Linked DNA regions of Elephas maximus indicus. The protein of the gene in region 1 purifies or fractionates together with the protein of each later gene. This does not show direct contact. Links are inferred from orthologs where the notes say so. Each region holds a gene or a part of one and is shown on either strand. Other genes may lie near its edges.

Region 1 (6,903 bases):
CTTGCTCCAGATGGGGAGGGACCAGTGCAGTTATCTTAGATGGCCACTCACAAGCTTTTAAGACCCCAAATGCTACTCGCTGAAGTAGGATGTAGAACATTTTCTTTATAAACTGCATTATGCCAATTGAGCTAGATGTCCCCTGAGACCACGGTCCCCAGCCCTCAGCCCAGTAATTCAGTCCCTCAGGGATAAAACTCCTGTTCTTGGGAAAACAATGTTAAGAAAATAACAGACTGAGCAAAAACATTTGCAATACATATATCCAGCAAAAGACTCATATACGGGTTATATAGATATATATTAGGAAATCCTGGTGGCATAGTGGTTAAGTGCTATGGCTGATAACCAAAGGGTCGGCATTTCGAATCCACCAGGTGCTCCTTGGAAACTCTATGGGGCAGTTCTACTCTGTCCTATAGGGTCGCTATGAGTTGGAATCGACTTGACGGTACTGGGGTGGGTTTGGGTTATAGATATATATTACAAATCGTTAATAAAAAGACTTGGGCAAAAGACTTGGACAGATACTTAAAAAAAAGTTGATGTCCACAAGGACCCATTATCTCTCCATCTTTCTTTTCTACCTTCCATCTCCATTTATGGCCATCATCCTTATGTTCACAAGATGGCTACTGTAACTCCAGGCATTAAAACTGTGTCGCAGGCAGAAATAGGAAGGAAAGAATGTGATGAATCTGTCTCTTTATGAGAAAAACCACATCTTTCCCACAAGCTCCACTTGACAGATTTTGTTTATATTTCTCTGACTACAACTCAGTCACATGGCCATACCTAGCTGCAAGGAAGCCTGGAAAATTGAGGTTTTTTTTTTTTTTTTTTTTTAGCTAGGTGGATTTCTTTAGCAAAGTAAATCAGGGTTCTGTTATAAAGCATATGGGGAAATGGACGTAAGTTAGGCAACTAGGAGTCTCCGTGCTCTATACGGGGGTAAATATGAAAACAGAAGGAAAAGCAAACACAATGTACTCAGCATAAAGAATGAGAAGTAGTATTGTGCAGGGAACAAAGCACTGCAGTGAGTCTCCTAGTCCTGGCTCTGCACCAGACTTGCTGGGGAACTGGTTTTCGGGTTCTTCCCCTGTAAGTTAGACATTGGAGTAGATAACCTACAAGCCTATAGAACCTATTATGGGAATTAGGTTTTATGATAAATTGCTTATGTTCAAGAGCTCATTTAGATATCATAACAAATATATGAGTAGGAACAATATGTGAATATTATTCCATTTTGCACTGGAGCTTGCTAAATCTCAGAGCATCTACATTGGTGCACAGATCTAGTAAGTGGCAGAGCCAGAATTCCAACTAAAGTCTGCAGGCCCCCAAAGTCAAAGGCTTCTTTCCACTGTTCATCTTTTCTCCAAAGGTGGAACAAGCTCATTCATTTTAATTTACTGAATTTTAAGGTTATACTTTCTAAACCACTTTCAAAATGTAGCATGGCAGCCACCTGCAGCAGAATTACCTGGGGTGCTTTTTGCAAATGCAAATTTATGGGCCCCCTCTAAGTCAACTGAAGCCAGACTCTGGGGGCTAGACCCCTGGGATCTTCATTTTTAAAAGCTTCCCAGGTAATCTGGAGACACTTTAAGGTCTCACAACCACCATTTTAAAGTTACAATTTATTGGTCTATTCCAATGTAGTTTATTTGTGGATCCGTGGCTCATGGAAATTTCCTCCAAATATCAGGAAAATAAAATTTAAAAATACTCTGTTCCTCCTTCCTCTTCCTCAGTTTTCTATTGAACGCAGTCAGTTCCATGGAAAATGTTAAGGAACTGGAGGTGTGTCATGGAAGATATCTTAACATGGATTGACTGAGGCTCTGTAAAGCAAAGGCACAGATTAATATGAACATAAATGTTGGATAGAATCATACAGAGCTGGAAGGGGGATATGCAAAGGAAATGGCATTAACTAAATATTTACTATGTTCCAGACACTGTTCCAGACACAGCGCATCATTTAGGGAATCCAAGACATATGATTCAATCCCTTTTTATTTACAAATGGGGTAGGCATTACAGCACGGTTATCTCTACTTTACAGAGGAGGAACCTAAAGTTCAGAGAACAGTCACTTTTCAAAGGCGAATCGTTCGTTCGTTTGTACAATAAATATCTCTTGAGAGCTCTTATTTTATGCAAGACATTGAGAATAAAGCATCGAAAAGACAGTCCAGAGACCTTGTGTGTCACGGGGCCCTGGTTTACCCAAGTTTCCATTGAGGACTGAGAGAGCAGACTGGGGCTGGAGCCTGCCAACAGCAGCATCTCTGCCTGCCAGCAGCCAGGAGGAGTAGAGCTTGTGGCTGGTGGTCCAGAGCTCCACCGGGAAGTTTCCACGGCTCAGTGAATACCATGCCTTTACCTTTCTGGGCGGTGGGGAGTAGGCAGGGGCCTGAAGGGAGTACTTTGAAATGGAACTTAAAAGGGGCTAAGGGAACCCCAAAATCTCATCATAGTCTTTCAGTAACCTTGGGAGGCAGATATTATTTCCGATTTATAGAAGAAGAAGCTGAGGCTCAGAAAGGCTAAGTGTTCTCATCAGGAGTGACTAGAGCAGGTCTCAGATTCTAGTCCAATGCCCCCAGCCCTCGCACTTGACAGCTCACTGAAAAAAAAAGTCTAAATAGGTGGGTAAAAGGCTCAGCCAATAGCGCTAAAGTAGTTTACTTGAGGTTGGGTATGAGTCTTTCAACCAACATTTATTTAATTCCAAGTTCAAATCACACAGAAAATAGAACTGTTTTCTCCTTAAAAGGTTCTGCGGAAGAATGTTCTCTGTTCTATGTAACAGCCTCCTTGGCTGTGTTTGTGTCTGAAGAAAGGATCAGTCTGACAGGAAGAATTATAAATCTGGAGCTCATTTCGGTGTCCCAGCGGGAAGGTGGGTGGAGCGCCTCACAGTAAATTAGGAATTCAGAATGAAAACGTAGTTGAGTTTATCTGGGTTTTCAGTGACACCTCAGAATTATTGTATGGGCGTGTCAGACAGCTCAAGGTAATGCCTGCTTCTCCTACGCCCCGTGGGAGCGGGTGCTGAGAAGGGGAATCCTCCTCCTTTGGTGGGGTGGGGGCTTCCCTTTCCAACCTGGATCAGGAAGGGAGAACGGGGAAGACGAATAGTTTGAAGGCCTGAGTCTTCTCTGAGTTCTGGAGGGAGGCTATTGGGGGGTGTGTCTGAGCTCAGGATCTGGGTCCGAGGCTGGGCTCTGAGACTAGGATTTGGGAATTTTCTGAGCCTGGAACTTGGGCTAGAGCAGGAGTAAACAGGAGACTGAGTCGTAAAGGAAGGGCACCGAGAAAGGGTTTTGAGGGGGCAGATGTTGAAAGTTGAAGCGCGGACCTGGGGACGGAGAGTTGAAGCCTGAGGACACTGCGGATCTGGGCAGAATGTGTTGGGGTTGGGGTGGAGGTCAGTGCCAGGTCGTTGGTGTCTAGAGGAAGCTAAAAGACAGTCGAGGGGCCACAGCCTTTTTCCGACGACTCACAGACAGACCCGTCTCTCAGCCTTCGCCCATCCGGGACAAGAGACGCCCTCGCACCGGGGCTGGCGAGACCCTGCCCCCACCCGGCCGCCTCCGAGCCCGGAGCAGCGCGGGCTGGGCTTGGGGTCTGGGCGCCCTGCGCAGGGGGAGTGCTGGGGGCGTGGTCGGCGGCCGTGCCCCGCAGCTCGGGATTGGCTGCCACTTGGGCCCGTGGGCGGGGCTCCCGGCTGGGTTTCGCTGGGCGGTTCGCAGACGGCGGAGAGGCGGGGCCGGCGGGAGCCTGGCAGCCAATGGACTCGCGGCTCCGGAGCAGTTACAAAGGGCTGAAGCGAGGCCGCGGCGGTGGCGGCGGCGGCGGCAGCGGCGGCGGCGGCAGGGGAGGTGGGGCGAGGCGAGGCTTGCTGAGGCGAGGCGGCGGCCGGGCCGGGCCGGGCCACAGGCGGCGGCGGCGGCGGGACCATGGAGGCAGCGGCTGCTGCTCCGCGTCCCGGGCTGCTCCTCCTCGTGCTAGCTGCGGCGGCGACGCTGGTCCCAGGGACGACGGGTGAGTGGCGGCGCGGCCGGGTTGGCGGGCGGCTGGCGGGCGCGCAGGCAGGGCCCGGCCTCTGGCTCGCTCCTTCTCTTTCTCAAACATGGCGCGGGCCGGGGGCGCAGGTGGCGGCGCCGGGGCCGGGACTTGGGCGCGTGTTGGGCTCCCTGGCCCGGCGCGGCCAGGCCCCCGCCACGGAACCGCAGGCGCGGTGGGGAGGCTGGACGGGGGCGTGTGTCCGAGCGCGGGTGGACGCCCGGCAGCCCGAGGCCGCCCCACTTGGCGCTCCCCCGGAGAGGTGGCGTCGGGCGGAGCCGTCCGAGGCCGGGGGCTGCGCTCTGGGGTGTGAGTGAGTGAGGGCCCAGGACTGAGGGTGCGAGGGTGGCCCGGGCGAGCAGAGCAGGGCCTTCCGCTGACCTCCGCCGAGGGAACTGTGAAGCCTTGTCCCTGGTATCCCCACCCCAAGCGAGTCGGTGCCTGAGGCCCCAGGGGTCCGGGGCGGGGTTGGGGTCCAAAGAAGCTTCCCAGGCAGAGTGTGAGCTCTGAGCCTTCAGGCTTCCCCGGGCGGTGAGAGGGGGCTACCTGTGGCTGAGACCCCCGGGTCATTAGGGTTGCCCCCAGCTTTGGCCCCGGCCCGGTCCTGCTCAGAGAGGCTGCTTCCACAGCCTGGGGTGCCTTTGGCGAGGGAGCTGCGAAGCTTTGTGTGGAAGGAGGCGGACGAAGATGTGCGGAATGTTTCTTCTTTCGTGCGTCTGGAAAGTGTTGAAGCGAATCCAGTAACCAGACGGCTACGGATTGTTTTCATAGTAAAAAATGGAACGTTTGCTCACTCTGCGGGGTTTGGAATGTTTGAATGAGAATTACTCTGTGAATTTATCAAAAGCTTTTATTTCCTCGAAGAAGAATGCTAGTGATCTTTCTTTTCCCCAGTGACAGTAGTTTGAATCAGTCATCTGCATAGCTGGTTTTCAAGGGAAAATGCTTGCTTGGTTTTCCAAAATACTCAATCAGGATGGGGTAGGTGGTTATCTACCCAAATGGAGTACAGGGTGAAAAACTTCGTGTTACAAACCAAATGACAATACTAGAAGCTAAAATATGGACCTAGTTTTAGCAACTGAAATATAGTAAAAGTACATTCCTATTTCTGAAATCGGACACCCTGTATAAAAAACAAAAGACTCAACCCAAGGCTGAGGGTGTCAATTATTAGTCTGAATAGCTACTGTGTTTTAAGAGCTTACTATGATGTAGGTGCATAAAGTACACTAAAGTACTTCAGCTAATCCTCACAACTAAATCTTCAAGGCTAGTGGCATTTGCCCCCGTTTTATAGATGAGAAAACTGAGGCGAGAGGTTAAGTACTCATTTACTAAGTGCTACAGTTAGGATTTGCATCTTTGCATCCAGGGCTCTGTTTCCAAAGCCTGTACACCTTATATATGCCAGACTGTCTTACCCGGCCCATTTTTCTTGTTCAGTCATCTGATAGTGATTGATCTTTATTATTCACTTTTAGATTTTGGCTTCAAAATTTGAATACCAGGTTGCCTTCTTTCTAACTGCCAGCACATTCCTGAGTCCCTTCACACTGAAACTACAAGAAAAAACAATGGATTTTTGATACTGGCCTCGGGGAGAGGAGATAATTGTGTGGACCTGTGGTAGAATCAGCATAGTTATACATCAAACAGAAATGACATTTCCACATCACTATTAACTTGAATAACGTAATTCACTCTTTTCCAGTTATTGTAGGACAGAATATTCATGTATTCAGGTAACAGTATTAGACTTAATTGGCTGTACAGAACATTGCTCAACCCAAGCCCTGAAGGAGTTTACAGAATACATTGGCATGCATACGATAGAAAGCTGATCCAGATGCTTATTACTCCAAGCCCAGACTACGTCAACTAGTCTGCCTGCCCTGATTGCTCATATTGATGTTTCAGTTCATCCTTTTTGTACATACGGAAGAAGCTAAGCTCAGAAGCTTTTTTTTCTTTATAATTGCCTTCCTTATTCAAGAACTTGTAGTTCTTTATCGGCTGGCTGTTAATTTTATATTTCTCTGCCTGGCTTCTGCTTTCTACAGCATAGATTTCTCTAGGGAAAATGGTTTCCTATCCCTAGTGCAGAGTTTCATACCACTATGTTTACATATATATCCCATTTGAGAATGCAGGTTCTTTTCTGCCATTTCATAACTTTTTTTTCTTTGAAAACATGCCTAAAACCCAACTCTTTTTTTTTATTAATGCCTCTTAAGTATGCCTCTTTGTATGCAGCCAGCTGCCCGTTATCCCTCGAATCTAGTTGCTTTCCATTGTTTCTCTCATCTGGTCTTTTCTACAGGCTGCTGCCAAACTAATCTTCCTCAGTGATCCCCAGGAAGGGTTTACAAGACTTCCTATTTGTATTCAGCCATTAGAGCATATACTTGAGACCCATGATTAGAACCATCTCTGAGTATCAGACCAGAGAATCTCACCCTTTCACTAGTGCAAACCCTCAGTTCCAGCGATTTCTCTTTTCCCCCTGACTCCTGACTGCTCAGTCTTTCCACTGCATAATTAATTTTGTCCCCTTTTGGGGGTGGAGCCCTGGTGGGCAGTGGTTAAAAGCTCAGCTGCTCACCAGAAAGGTTGGCAGTTCTGATTGGTTGGTACCCTAGCGATGCCAGTTGTTACATATTTTTACTGTCACCCATAGAGGCTTCAGTATTCAAAGAGGAAAATGATTAGTACAGACTGAAGTGATTGCGGAAGGCTTCCTGGACACTTTAGGACTTAAGCTGTTTTTGAAGGGTGGCTAGAATTCAGATGGGCAGAGACAGGGATTTGATGAGTGTTAGG
Region 2 (6,965 bases), on another chromosome or scaffold:
CGATGGGGGGAAGGGAAAAGGTCCTTTAGAAAGAATACTCATCATCCCTGATCCCTTAATATCCAACGTCATCCAAAAACTCAGAAACGTTTCTGTATCTATGACATCTTGATTGCTGAATCCAAAAACAATCTTCCTCTCTTTCACAAGGAAAAGGACTAGGCCCAGACCTGCCAACCAGGATATATATATCCTAGAATCTAACACATACATTTGTAACTAAAACCTTATTCCTTATAAAACGTGAGTTGCATTTCTACAAAACTCACAAAATCAGTTACTTCTCTTTTAGCAAGAAAACAGAAAATGATCTAATATCAATTATAGATTATATTGTAAATTCAAACCAAATTAAAGCAGTCAATAATTAAAGTTTTACAAGTATTACAATGTCAAAAACATGGCTTTTATGTAGCCATAAAAATAGTTTAATGTATATATGCACATAGAAGTCTTTCATATCCGGGCCCTGGTATAAAGGATAACGTCTCTCCAGAAGCAAAGACCCATGGGATATACCTGTGACCTTACAAAACCATGGTCTGTCTGGGTTTGGGCCCAAGTCATTCCTGATCTGACATCCTTGTAAAAGGACAAATAATTACAACCCTTTCCTTGACACAAAAAAATGGATCATGCAACAACTATGGGGTTTCGAGGGAATCTTTAGTTTTAAAAAAAAAATCACCAACTGTTGAGTCAGAATCGAATTGACTACAGTGGGTTTTGGTGTTTTTATTTTTATTTTTTGGTTAAGGCACTCACAGAGCAACTAAAAAAAAAAAAAACCCATTGCTGTCCAGTGGATTCCGACTCATAGTGACCCTACAGGCCAGAGCAGAACTGCCCCATAGGGTTTCCAAGGCTGCAATCTTTAGAGAAGCAGACTGCCACATTTTTATAAAGTAGAGCAGCTGGTGGTTTGGAACCCCCAACCTTTCCATTAGCAGCCAAGCCCTTAACCACTGTGCCACCAGGGCTCCTGTTTCTGCCATAAAGTGTTCAAAACGCTCATTCTCTCCTTTGAAAGGAACTGAGCAGACACTGGCTTCGGAATCCGCACTAGGCCAGAAACTGCACAAGGAAAAATCGAGAGGAAAATCCGTAACAGGGATTAGATGAAACTTTTTCTTTCCTTTCCAGAGCTGGAAATATTCGAGTTTGGAAAGTCCCCCAGCAACACCGCATTTGCAACAGGAGGAAACTGCCTTAGGCGTGAATTTAAGCTGGAAGGGCAGAGGGTGAACCCGGAACAAGCTAAGAGGAGGGAGAAAGGGCAGGCGAGGATGCAGACTGGTCCAGAACCCCTGGAGCGCACTAGGGAGGTTCACATTCGCACACATCCCAACTACAGCAGAGCGGCACGCTCCCCCCTGAAGTGGCACCACTGAGCCACCAAGGAAACAGGGACTCTTCACTGAAGACTGAGAGTGAATCAAGAAGCCTGGTTTCTGCAGCTGCCAAAGCCTCCAGTGCGGGGGTGGGGGTGTCTAAGAGGGGCTCAAGAGTGTTGAGTGGCAGGATGATGGTCAAGTGCAATACAGAGACGCCGCGAACTGCAACAGCAGCGTCAAGGGCAGAGAGTGGTCTGGCCTGAGAGGAAAAGGAAGTGGGCTAGACTGAAGGGGTCTGGACCAAAGGAGAAGTGAGGCAAGAGGACTGGGAGAAGCTAGACGGGAGAACAGGAGCTCGAGCTCAAGGAAAGGGTTGGGGCCCCGGAGAAAGCAGCAAGGGGGCAGGAATGGGAGATAAGCCAGGAAGGAGCTAGAGAAAAACGAGGGGCGTGGCCAAGAAAAGGGGCGGGGCCAGTAGGGGAGAGGCGAAGGCACAGGTGGGGGAAGAGGGAGGGCAACCAGGGGAGGGTGAGGAGGGTGAGGAAGAAAGATGAGAGGAGGCAGGTGGGGGGAGAGGAGGGGAAAGTTGGGGGGAAATGGTGAGATGCCTGGGGTCGGGGCCAAGAGGAGAGAAGCGAGGGGGCGTGGCCAGGATGGAAGTGGGGGAGGACAGTGGGAGAGGAGCTAGGAGGCAAGGAAGGGGCGGGGTTAAGGAGAGGCAAGGGGCGGGGCTAGGGAGGCGAGGGCGGGGCCAGGATGGAAGCGAGGGGACGATAGTGGGAGAAGAGCTAGGAGGCGAAGAAGGGGGCGTGGTTAGGGAGAGGCAGGGGCGGGGCCAGGATGGAAGTGAGGGGACCTTAGTGGGAGAGCTAAGAGGCAAGGAAGTAAGGGGGCGGGGTTAGGGTGGCGAGGGGCGGGGCCAGGAAGAAGGAAGGAGGCAGGTGTGAGGGAGAAGAGAGTTGGAAGGTGGGGGTGAGAAGCGTGGGGGTGGGGCCAGGAGGGAGAAGGAAGAAGGCAGGTGTGAGGGAGGAGGGAAGAAAGTAGGAAGATGGGGGCGAAAGGCAAGGGGGCGGGGCCTGGAGAGAAGCGAGGGGGCGGGGCCTGGGCAGAAGCGAGGGGGCGGGGCCGGGAGCAACAAGGGGCACACACCGAGGGGGGTGAGGAGGTCCTGGGACAACGGCCGGTTGGGGGAGGGACACATCCCAAGGGCGATACGGGGGAAATGCCGGGGCTGGTGAGGGGCGGCGCGGGGTCTGAGTGGGAGCTGGGGGCGGCGGGGGCCCCCCGCCGGCCGTACCTGTCAGACGGATCTTGATGCTGGAGCCATTCCTGCGCGTCCCGGGATTCGACATCTCCCGCCAGCGATCGGGTGGCCGCGGATCCAGCGCCGCCGCCCCCCGGCCCGGACCGGTCCGGCCCCGCCGCCGCCGCCTCAAGGTTACGGCTCCGGGCTGGGCGCCGGGGTCCGAGCCGGGACACAAACTCCGCGGCCCAGGCGTCCGGGCGGCAGGCGGATGGTCGAGCCGGGGGATCGGCACTCGCCCCAGCGCCCCCCGGCCCTCGCTCGCACCTAGCCGAGCCCAGTCCAGAGCCGCCGCCGCCACTGCCGCCACCACCTCAGAGCCGGACGCCCGCCGCCCTCGCCGCTTCCGCCGCCGCCGCCGCCTCCCGGAGCCGCGCGCGCTCTCGCCGCTGTGCCGGCCCGGCCCTGCGCGCGCCCGGGCCGTGCGCCCCCGCGCTCGTTTGCGTGCGCGCGCCCGCGGGGCACGCCGGGGCGGGGCACGCCGGGGCGGGGCGGGGCGCGCGCCTACGTCAGCAGCTCGGCCTCCTGGCGCCCGGCCTGGGGGCTTCGCCCGCGCCCTGCAGGAGGGGATGCGGCGTTGGGCGTGGGGTGCACCCGGCGCGCCCCTTCCTCGGCGGCGAGGCTGCGAGGGGACCGCGCGGGGTCCGCCACAGGCGGCTGACGGCGCTGCCCGCGCCCCGGCGCCTCCAGTGTCCGCGACGGTTCCCAGGGAGCCGACGTGCAAATGCGGACGTGAGGTTCCGAGAAAGGAACCGATTTCCCAGGTCTCTGACTCCAGGCCCGGGACTCCTCATAAGCTGTTGAAGGACGGGCGACACGAAACCTTTGTGTCGGTGCCCTGTTCCTAGACTAAGTACCTTGCACCAGCAGACATTCAGTAGCGTATTTTGTGTTTCGATAATGCAGTTTCAAGGGAGGGACTTGTCAGAGACAAAGTCCGTTAGGTGTGTGTTCTCCGCAACTCCTGCGCTCTGATTTCCCCGTATGGAAGTTGCCAGAATGGCAGGAAGTGCCCTGTGTGGGCAAAGTAAACAACAGTTGAGAGAGGGATAAAGTTAAGAGGTTAATATCTAATCTGCATACAGTTTAGCAGTTACTGCCGTGTTTTCCCGCCTTCTGCTCGCTAAAGGCTCATTAGACGTTCCCAGCAAACAAATGGCTCTTATTGTTAATACGATATGGAGAGGAAATAACGTGTTAATCGAGAGGAAAAGGTGGGTTTATCAAACTTGTTATTGACCAAATACCTCATTCTTTTAAATGCCTTTATTTGGTTTGTGTCCTAAAAATGGTGTCTCTGGGTGATGGGCTCAGCTGCTAACGTATGAAGGTTCCAGACCACCGGGCACCTTGGAAGAAAGGCCTGGCAATCAATGTCAGAAAAATTAGCCATTGAAAACCCTTTGGAGCATAGTTCTACTTTGACATATATGAGGTCACAATGAATCATTCAGTGGCAACTCTTTCTAAAAAGCCAGACAGGGTCTGGGCAACTGCTCACATTCCCTGTGGCCTTGGGCCTTTCCTGAGCTCACAGTCTTCAGAACAAAGCCCTCTGCCTAGAGTCTCTGGACGTTCCCTGCCGTCCTGCCTCTGGCTGAGCCCAGTGAAAGCAGTCTGTCATAGGCTGGACCCAAGGCTTTGCCTCTTGGGGCCTCAGTTTCTTCAAGCATCAAATGAAAGGATGGGCTCAGATCATTTCTGTGGTCCCTTGCAGCTCAGACTTGCAATGATTCTAGTGTAATATCCAAGAATACAAGCTATGTTTAACCAACAGAGGAGTAGACCCAGAACCCAGCTGTTTCTCTTTTTATGCAATTGTGACTGAGAGTCCCTTGGCCTGAATAAATCCATTCAGTGTGTTGTCTGACACCCCAAGTGATGGCCATTCTTCTTTCAGTCCAGTCAGTATTCCCCCTTCTCTCCTCTTTATTCCCAAATTCAAGAAGTCTCTTCTCCCCAAACCAAACCAAACATCTCTCTCTGCTTACCTGAGCACTGGCCCCTGTCCCAAGCCTCAGCTGTTCCACCCTAGAAACCTGGCATTTCTTAACCTCGTTGTGTTCTCACCTGCCTTGATGCCTGGGCCTTCCTTTGCTTATTTCTTCAACCCTTGAGTCAAGAGGTTGCTTTTGGAGATTACCAAGAGGCATCTTGTTTACTCATTAACACATAATTGCTGTTGTCATCTAAGTAGATGCACAAAATAGTCATCTCACCACAGCCTGTACAGAGGGGACCTGAATGGTAGCTAATGCTTTCTACATTTAGCGTTTGCTCAGCCAACATCGGCCACCTACTATGTGGCTAGGGACAAGGGACACAAAATAAGTCATGGCTTTAGCATTTTGGAGTCCCTGGATGGTGCAAACATTGTTTGGCTGCTTAACTGAAAGGCTGCTGGTTTGAGTCCACCCAGAGGTACCTTGAAAGAAAGTCTCGGCAATCTACTTCCAAAAAAATAAATCCCTGTGACGCACAGTTCTACTCTGACACACATGGGGTCACCATGAGTCAAAATCGACTTGACGGCAACTAGCACTGGTTACTACTTTAGCTTTTCAGAGCCTCAGTTGACAGGGAAACAATGGTAGAGGGACAGAGATGGGTACAGAGGGCTAGACCAGGGGTTGCAGGACAATTCTGCCTAGGAGGAGAGGGCTGGGGAGGTCTCAGAAGAGTCACAGCAGGCCTTGATCTGGAGCTTAAATGCAGGGTTCAGGTTTGCTGGGCAAAGAGGCAGGAAGGGAAATGCAGACAGATTGAACAACTTGTGCAGAGGTGTGTCCGTGAATGCATTTTCCAGTGTGTTTCCAGGCCAGTGTGACTGCATAGCTGCCATATCTTCTCCCCACGTACTTTACTCCACTGAAAGTTGATAAAAATGATAAAAGCTATTTGCCCACTTAAAAATCATCAGCTGCTGTTTCGTTCTGCGGCTGGGCCAGCCCACATATTGAACTACCTGGATGTCCTTCCACCATGTATCAACCTTCATCAGAAGTACTACCTTCCAGAGATCTCTGGGCCAGATAGATATGAAATGTCAAGCAGTTCTGCTGAAAAAAACTCAATGAGTCCCTCCAAATGTCCTCTTTGCAATGGCTTTACAAAGAGCAGTTTTGCCCCTGCCTTCTATGGAGGCTTGCCAACTGATTCTATTTCCACCGTATGTACCACTTCCTTGTGTCACTGTTATTGGGCATCTCTCTTTGTTCTGACTGAGTAGTTCTAACCTGTTTTGAGTCCCAAACCTCTTTGAGAATCTAATGGAAACTCTGGACCCTTTCCCCAGAAAAATCCATATGTGCACATACACACCAAATTTTACCAACTTCAGTGGGTTCATTATCCCCAAAAACCTATTCGTGGATCCTATAATGGCCCATACTCCCTAGATTAAGAACCCCTATTCCAAAGAAAGTGATCAAGCAGTTAACTTTGGGGATATCCTTCTGTGTGTGTTGGGGGGAGGTGGTGTGGTAGTTCAGTGGTAGAGTTTCACCTTCCCTGACGGAGACCCAGGTTAGATCCCCCGCCAGCGCACCTCATGTGCGGTCACTGCTCCTTTTGAAGGCCATAATTTGTGCTAAAAAGAGAGTAGCTGTGGACTCACACAGCCCCACACTCTACCTTGTCTCCACCACATTACCAGCTGGTGATAACCAAACCAAAACCACACCCAGTGCCATGGAGTCGATTCCGACTCATAGCGACCCTATGGGACAGGGTAGAACTGCCCCAAAGGGTTTCCAAGGAGCACCCTGGTGGATTCGAACTGCCAATCTTTTGGTTAGCAGCCATAGCTCTTAACTACTACACCACCAGGGTTTCCCCAGCTGGTGATAGAGGAAGGTAATTAAATTCTCCAAACCTCATTTTGCTTATCTCCAAAATGGGGCTAATGCCTCTCATGCAAAGTTATTGTGGGGTTTAAATTAAATCATGGATGTAGAAGTAGCAGTTAATATAGGAGGGACTCAATAAACAGTAGTTCTTATGAGTAAAATGTGCAGGCTCATCTTCACTCCAAAACCTATTAGTGCTACTACTACCTTGGAGAAATATGTTTGGGAAAATAAGACAAATAAAAATTCTCCAAATTCGTCGTAACTCACCTATAACATGTAAGCAACAGTAACCAGGGAAATCAACCCAGAGGAAGTCCCACGTAAGACCCCGAATCATTGTTTATTGGCTAAATATCGTACTAGTCTTTGGACAGGGTTGGACGGAGATCGAGTCTATTCTAGACCAATGGTTTTCAAAAGTGGGGTCGCCAGAGCAGCAGCAGCACCTGGGAACGGTTAGAAATGAAAACTATCAGG
Region 3 (7,790 bases), on another chromosome or scaffold:
ACTTTTCCCTACACCACACGGCCTTTACTTCTTGCAACCTGGTCCACAATGTACATCCCTCACAATTTATTCTAACATTTTCTACACCCAGATCCAGAATGATAAAAACTAAATCACTAAAAAAAGGTAGATTTCTAAGGCTGAGAATGTACATAATGTGACAACAGAACTGCATTTAAGAAATGCCGAACTGAAATTTCTGAGTCACAACATTAGGAATCTAAGGATTAAAATTAGCTGATGCCTTAGAAATATGCATCTACTAAATGGCTGCATACCTGGTCTATGGTTCGAGTTATTTTTTATGTACTTTCTAGTTCTGGTCATATAATGCTGATTCAATTACACTGTTATCTGAGAAATACAGGATATGATTTTCTTTAAATGGGAATAAAATACTTTTTGTTTCTGATCATCCTCTATTATAATGATTTTAATCTAGAAATGGAATCTAAATTCAGAAATAGTTATTGAGCACCTAAGGTGCACCCTGGATTATATCAAACACTTTTAATGTGTGCAAATGAAGAATATGATGGAACTTATGTAATGGCCTCAACATAAGAAAGGTCCTAATTCAATCTTTCATATGAAAACAAACTGGGTATTAAAAAATCAAAACTAAACGACCGCCTAATGTTAGAAAGAACTTTTTATCAAAAAGCAAAAGTCTACGCCCCAGGATATCCTAAATACACCAAAGGAAGGCTGAAGCACTATCTAAATTGAAGGAAAGGTTTTGGAAACATAAACACCTAATCAGAAGTGAAATGGCTTTGGGGGAAGAGCAGCAAAATGAAAAATGTCTCAGTAACTTCCTTTCTTCCATAAAGCAAGAAGACAAAAAGCTTTACAAAGTAATGTGCAAAAACTAAGTTTGCTGTCGAAATCAAATGAAAATAAGCCTCTGAAAGAATCTGGTAGACCATAAAGTACAAGTTATTATTACATAACAATTTGTAGTCTACAAGCATAGCCAATTTACCGCAGAGTAGACAGAGTAGACGTAAATGCTTATTTAAAAACTGCAATTCTTGTATACTGACTCACTGAATTTTTATTCTTAAAAAAGAATGTTAGCCATGAAAGCTGGATCAACTATCCACTTCTGGAAAAGGAATTTATCATAGCCTCAATCGGAAAAAAAAAAAAAAAAAGCACACACACAAAATTCTCCTCTCTTTTCAAAACACAGATCTTCTTTTAGCCCTGTGACCTTAAGGCAGGTCACTATTCCTCTCTGGAACTCAGTTTCCTAGTAATACGTGTCAGGCCTCGTGTTGGGTGTTTCACATACACTGCCTAATAAGACTGTTATACAGATAAAATTAAATAGAAATTATTATCCTTGTTTTACAGTTAAGAAAACTAAAGTTCAAAGGGGTTAGTTAGGAAATGTGCCCTAAACCACATAGCTAACGTGGCACATCTCACATACTGAACTTTCCTCTTAAGTCAAAAGATCCTGTTTTTCCCATTGTGCTACCTTGTAAAAAAAAAAAAAAATGAAGGTTGTTCTTAATGATCTCTAGGTTGTTTCAAGTAATAAAAATGTATGATTTAGTAATTCATTATTCTTCCAAAACATGAATAGGGAAAAGATATATTTATTTGGTGAACATTAATTATCTCACTAATTTTAGCTTGCTGTAACCTAAAAGTAATTTTAGATTTTTACAGTAGAGATAACGCTGAGATTTCATAACATGTCCACAGGACATGCTGAGTTCTTTATAGTATAAAAAAAAATAAAATAAAAATAAAATCACTACATTTTTAAAAGGATAAATAAATGGTAACTATTTGATACATCCCATTTTCAACCAGTTTTTAAAAACACATTCTAAAGTGTCTTTAAAATATATACACACACTTTTACTTTCCTAAATTTCACAGTCCTTATTACCAATCGCCCCTCTATGAATGTGAACAGAAGTAACGTACTAAAGGCACACTAAAATATCTCGCTCTAAAATATCTTAAATTATTGAAGAATACAGAATGGATTCAGGTCTTCTAACAGCAATTTCTAATCTGGTGATATATTCTAGCTGTCGCCGAGATCATGAGTTCTCTCTCCAGAACATGCTACTTAAAACATCTTTTCATTATAACAGACCAGCGTACATTACTAATGGCGAATTCATCTAAATTACCCAACTGAAGGCAGAACATTTAATATTACGAGTACTGCTCTATGATATCAGCGAAACAGAATCATTCGGTACCTGCGGAAACACTTTGACTTCATCTACTACTTTAATAAGCATTTATTGAGCGCCCACTATGTGCCAGGCACTGAGCTGTAAATCGAATATAGTATAATCCTTGGCCTTTAAAAACACAACATGTAGAGAATTGAAACGGCCACGGTCTTTGCTGAATTTACTACTTACAGAAATGAGAACTGGTGGACCACACTTTCTCACCAGCTCATCCTCCTATTTGAAGTGACCCAAATCCAGACACCGGAGTATCAAATCCAAACTCGAGTGTCGAAGTGAGGAAAAAAGAGAGCTACCTCAGAGCAGCTGAGCGCGAAGAGTCCCCCCACACCCAGTCTCCGAGGGGTTGTGGGGAATCTCGGCTCGACCCCGCCGGGGAGGCGCCTTCAGAGCCAGGATCCGGCAGAAGCGGGGGCGAGCCGGAGACGGCGCTCTGTGCCGGGCCTCGCTCACCTCTTCCACCTCGATCTCCTTGTAGTCGATCTCTTCAAAATTGAGGACCTGGGAGGGGGCTTCGATCATCTCACCGGCCGAAGACGAGGAGGAGGAGGAGGCGGCAGAGGCTGTAGACATGATCCCTCGCCGCGCCCGAGGGGCCCGGAGAGTCTGCCACCCAGACACTCCGGGGCAGACCCGCGCCCACCCGCCTCCGGACCGACCTTCAGTCTGGAGCCGCACAGCCCGGCCAGCCGGCGATCCGTGGCGGGGGCAGGAACAGCGGCCACAGCCGTGTCCCGGCTCCGGCTCCGCTGCGTTTTCCGCCGCCGGGCCCCGCCCACCTGACTTCCGGTTCCGGTCTAAAATCGGAAACAGGAGGGGGGCAGCAGGTTCGTGGGAGGGGAGGGGAGAATTTCGTGACGGGGAAAGAGAAAGGAAGGGCAGGCTGGGGTAGGGTGAAGGCGCAGGGGCGGGGGGCGGGCGGGTGAGAGCCTGTCTTGAACCTGTAAAACAAATTTCGCGAGATCTTTGCTAAAGAGGCTCAGGAGACGGATGTTACCGCGAGAGTTGATGCGCTGACATAATTAAAATGCGCGAGCGGAAGTGACACAAGCCTGATGGCCAATGAGTGCCGTTGGTCTTTTAGGAACCAGCGGGAAAGATAAAAACTATGGTTCCCACTGTTTGTGAGTTGCGTCATGGCTCCACTCCATCTTCTTTTAGCGGCCTGCAGACGGGCAGAGCAGTATAGGACCGAGTTTTTACGACAAAGCCCACTTTTCGTTTTAAACCGAAGCTAAACTAAACTGTATCTTTAAGAAGCCTCGCAAAACGTGTTTTCCTCAACGTGGAGGGAGCGGTTGGCTATTATTTAAACCAGTCCCTGATACCAAGAGAGAGTCTGAAGAAGTTAATAGTACAGAGCTGGTCAGCGTATTCAACATAAGTAACGCTCTGGAGGCTGAGTGCTCACGAAAAGAAGATGACATATTGGTATAACAAAGTTAACACATTTAGATAAGGTAGATATTTATAATTTGGCATAATTTGACATGTTCATCTCGCGTTTTAGATTGTATTAATAGCATTTATCGAGTGCAGAGCACTATGTTAGATTCATTATATTTATAATTTTATCGTTACAATGGCCATGACAAGTTAAATATTTTTTCATCATTTACAGGACATGAGAAAATAAATTCAGAGAGATTAAAAGAATTTCTGATCCAAAACCTATGCAATCTGTCTCTAAGGCAAATGGTATTGTCTACGTTGTGCTAAAACTCGAATAGCATTGTCTATGTTGGGTTAAAACCCATTGCTGTCCAATGGATTCCAACTCATAGTGACCTAATAGGACAGACTAGAACTGCCCCATAGGATTTCCAAGGCTATAAATCTTTATGGAAGCAGACTGCCATGCAGCTAGTGAGTTTGAACCACCACCATTTCAGCAGCCAGGTGCCTAACTACTGTGTCACCAGCGTACTTTACGTTGTGTTACCAAAAAATATTAAACTAAGCTGTTAAAACTTTATTACTTTGACTTGAAGCCTAAGTGTGGAATTTTGGAGTTAGAGACTTAAAAATGATAATTATATATGGTGGTTGGAGCAGTGGGTTTGGATGAACTTACCTAGGAACAGGTCTCTGGGTGGGATAAATCTGTGTTTGACTATTAACCAAAGGGTTGGTGCGTGGAACCCACGCAGCAGTGCCAGGGAAGAAAAGCCTAGTGATCTGCTTTCCTGTGATTAAAAAAATAAGCAACTGTTGCCATTGAGTCAATTCCAGCTCATGTGACCACATGCCCCTGGGTGGTACAAATGGTTTATGCTGAACTACTAAACGCAGGCAGTTCAAACTCACTCAGTAGTACCGCAGTAGAAAGGCCTGGTGGTATGGTTCTGTCAAGATTACAGCCAAGAAAACCTTATGGAACTGTTCTTCCCTGTAACGTGGGCGAGCCATGAGTCGGAATGAAGGCAACGGGCTTGGTTTTTCTTTTTTTCTTTCACCTAGGAGCACTGTGTTAAAAAAAAAAAACCAAGACGGAACCCTGTGAATGTCAAATTCTAAGCCTCAGAAACAGAAAAGGAATGGTTTGAAAAAGCAAAATGACTGGAGTGGTGACCTGGATGGCATAGGAGGAGAGCTGTTCAATTAAGGAGTAGTAAACCAAATAAATGCTGTAAGTAAAAAAAAAAAAAAAACCAAACCCATTGCCTTCAAGTCAATTCCAACTCATAGTGACCCTATAGGACAGAGAACAACCCCATAGAGTTCCCAAGGAGTGCCTGGTGGATTCGAACTGCTGCCCTTTTGATTAGCAGGCATAACTCTTAACCAAGGTGCCACCAGAGCCTTAGTTGTAAGCAAATAAGTAAGTTAAGCACATTTCTGATTATAAATAGGTGATTGGATTTAGCAATCAGGAAGCTATGAACTAGAAAGCATTCTGTCATTTCCAATTTGTAGTTCTAGTGACACTTAATGATAGTTTGGTGAATGGATAAAAGGATGAAAGAAGAAATAATTTCTTCTCAGTGTATATACTCTCTGGATGATCTTACCCAGGGTCTTGGTTTCTCATACCATTTTTGTAATGACTTTCATTACCTAGCTCAGATTTTTTTCTGAATTCTGAACCTGTTGGATATTTTTATTTAGGTGCAACAAACACCTTAATTTCAAGATGGCAAAGCTAATTCAGAATCCATCCGCCAATACAGATATGTTCTTCCGATGCATTTCCTGTCTCAGTTAAGGATCCCGTTACCCACTCAGTTGTCCAAGTGAGAAATCAGGATGTTATTTCTACATATGAAATGATGCTCCAAAACAACAACAACAAAACCAAACCTACCCCATTGCCATCCGGTCAATTCCAACTCATAGCAACTCTATAGAATAGAGTAGGACTGCCCCATAGAGTTTCCAAGGCTGTAACCTTTATAGGAGCAGATTGCTAGGTCTTTGTCCCGAGTAGCAACTGGTGGATTCAAATACCCCAAATACCCGACCTTTCAGTTAGCAGCTGAGCACTTACCCATTGCACACCAGGGCTGCTGAAATGATGCTCAGTATACTAATGATCAAATAGAAGCAGATAAATCGATGGAATAATCTGTCTTGAAAAAATTATGTTACAGGAGACAGGAGTGAAAGGAAACAGGCACATCCTTCACTTTTGTTGAGAAAAAGGCAAAGATTGTTTCTATTGTTTATAACAGGCAGAAAGTAGAATCAAGTCCTCAATCAACAGAGGATTATATGTAGACTAGTACTTCTCTTGACTGCTTTGAGTCAGTTTTTCATATATCAGCCAAAATCATGTTTTAAAGTCTCCAGCATGATCATATCACTCTCCTGCTTAAAACTCTGTGACATTTTGTGCCTGGAATTTACGGTGCAATGAATTACTTAATATGGCCCTTCTAGCCTTGGCCTTTGTGACTCACACACAATTATTGAATGGGACTATGCAAATAAGGTGTATGGAACCTGTGACGGTTAGGGTTATGTGTTGACTTGTCTGGGCCATGGTTCCTGGTATTGTGTGGTTGTCCTCCATTTTATGTGTTGTGGATCCTGACCTCTACATGTTAATAAGGCAGAGTTGGTGGAAGGTGTGTCTTGGGTCACAATCTTGTGACTCAAGTCCCACCCTTACTAAAGTTACACCCTTTCCTGGGGTGTGGACTGCATCTGAGACCTATGTGTGTGTCCTTGTGAGGCTCTCTTTCTCCCTGCATCTGGATCCCCTGTCTAGTTTGTGATCAGCTGACCTCCCCAGAAGCCTGCTGTATGACCTACCAATTCTGGGATTCGAAGGCCTCCCCAGCCACTTGGGCCAGCGGCCTATTGTACAACATGATTCACCACCTTTTGCAACCTTGTGAGCCAACAGCCTGTGGTCTGAACTGCCAATTTGGGTTCATCAGCTCCTGCAGCCACGTGGGTCAGGAGAAGCCTATGCCTGACCCACAATTTGGGACTTGCCAGCCTCCACAACTTCATGAGCCATTTCCTTTATATGGTTGGGGAGTTCTGTGAGGCATTGCAGTGAATTAGGGACCCCAAAGATGGGAGGGAGAGTACTGAGGGGAGAGGGAGTAGTTGATGTTAGAGATGATGGAGTGGTATAGCAGCTTGGAAAAGTTGGACATTTGGGACATCTTTAACCTCCACCTCATAGTTACCAGCTTTGTACTAATTGTTATAAAAGAAATTATTTGTTTAGAGTTGAAAAAATACTCAGCTCCTGCCTGCCTCTCCCTGGCATGTTAAGGTCCAGTCACACAGGCTTCTTTTCAGTTTCTAGAATAAGCCAAACTCTTTACCACCTCTGGACTTTTGCAACACTATTTCTTCTGCCTGGAATACTTTCCTATCCTGCTTTTGGAGTACCTGGATCCTTATCATTTTTCAGGCTTTACATTAAAATTCACCTCTTAGGCCTTCTCTGACTATTCCAGATACTTTGATTATTTTTGTTCATTTCCTTCATAGCATATATCACAATTTGTAATTTGTTTTCTTTACATATTTATTGTCTGAATCATTATTAACCTGTGTATACCTTCATAACCACTTAATAAATATTTATTGAATGAACAAATGCAATAAAAATCTATGCAGCTACTAAAATAATGCGTTAGCTCTATATGTACAGATATGGAAAGAAAAAATACTATTTTCAAATTAAATAAAATTTTAAAAACAGCATGTAGAGTAGGATCCTATTTCATTATACATATACAACTTATATATGCATGGTAGAAAGTCTGTTGTTGTTGTTGTTAGGTGCCATTGAGTCAGTTCCGATTCATAATGACCCTATATACAACAGAACGAAACACTGCCCGGTCCTGTACCATCCTCACAATTGTTATTATGCTCGAGCCCCACTCTGTCAGTCCGTCTCCTTGACGGTCTCCATCTTTTTTGCTGACCGTCTACTTTACCAAGCATGCTGTCCTTCTCCAGGGACTAATCCCTCCTGATAACATGTACAGAGTATGTGAGATGTAGTCTCACCATTCTTGCTTCTAAGGAGCATTCTGGTTGTACTTCTTGTAAGACAGATTGGTTCATTCTTTTGGCAGTCCATGGTATATTCAATAT

The links. The genes of interacting proteins can lie anywhere in the genome.
Region 2: the proteins of TGFBR1 (region 1) and SMURF1 purify together in Homo sapiens (affinity purification with western blotting; 3 studies listed by BioGRID). This does not show direct contact. The link is inferred for Elephas maximus indicus from reciprocal best matches to the Homo sapiens genes TGFBR1 and SMURF1.
Region 3: the proteins of TGFBR1 (region 1) and MAP3K7 purify together in Homo sapiens (affinity purification with western blotting; 3 studies listed by BioGRID). This does not show direct contact. The link is inferred for Elephas maximus indicus from reciprocal best matches to the Homo sapiens genes TGFBR1 and MAP3K7.

Annotation. Positions count from the first base shown.
Region 1 is NC_064827.1:48,995,740-49,002,642, forward strand, and holds the start of TGFBR1 (TGF-beta receptor type-1), read left to right. Parts: upstream 1-3,886; 5' UTR 3,887-3,974; coding exon 3,975-4,059; intron 4,060-6,903. UniProt on the Homo sapiens protein: Transmembrane serine/threonine kinase forming with the TGF-beta type II serine/threonine kinase receptor, TGFBR2, the non-promiscuous receptor for the TGF-beta cytokines TGFB1, TGFB2 and TGFB3.
Region 2 is NC_064830.1:102,570,368-102,577,332, forward strand, and holds the start of SMURF1 (E3 ubiquitin-protein ligase SMURF1), read right to left. Parts: upstream 3,016-6,965; 5' UTR 2,687-3,015; coding exon 2,632-2,686; intron 1-2,631. UniProt on the Homo sapiens protein: E3 ubiquitin-protein ligase that acts as a negative regulator of BMP signaling pathway. Mediates ubiquitination and degradation of SMAD1 and SMAD5, 2 receptor-regulated SMADs specific for the BMP pathway.
Region 3 is NC_064819.1:154,409,993-154,417,782, forward strand, and holds the start of MAP3K7 (mitogen-activated protein kinase kinase kinase 7), read right to left. Parts: upstream 3,016-7,790; 5' UTR 2,799-3,015; coding exon 2,679-2,798; exon of another isoform or gene 2,397-2,678; intron 1-2,396. UniProt on the Homo sapiens protein: Serine/threonine kinase which acts as an essential component of the MAP kinase signal transduction pathway. Plays an important role in the cascades of cellular responses evoked by changes in the environment.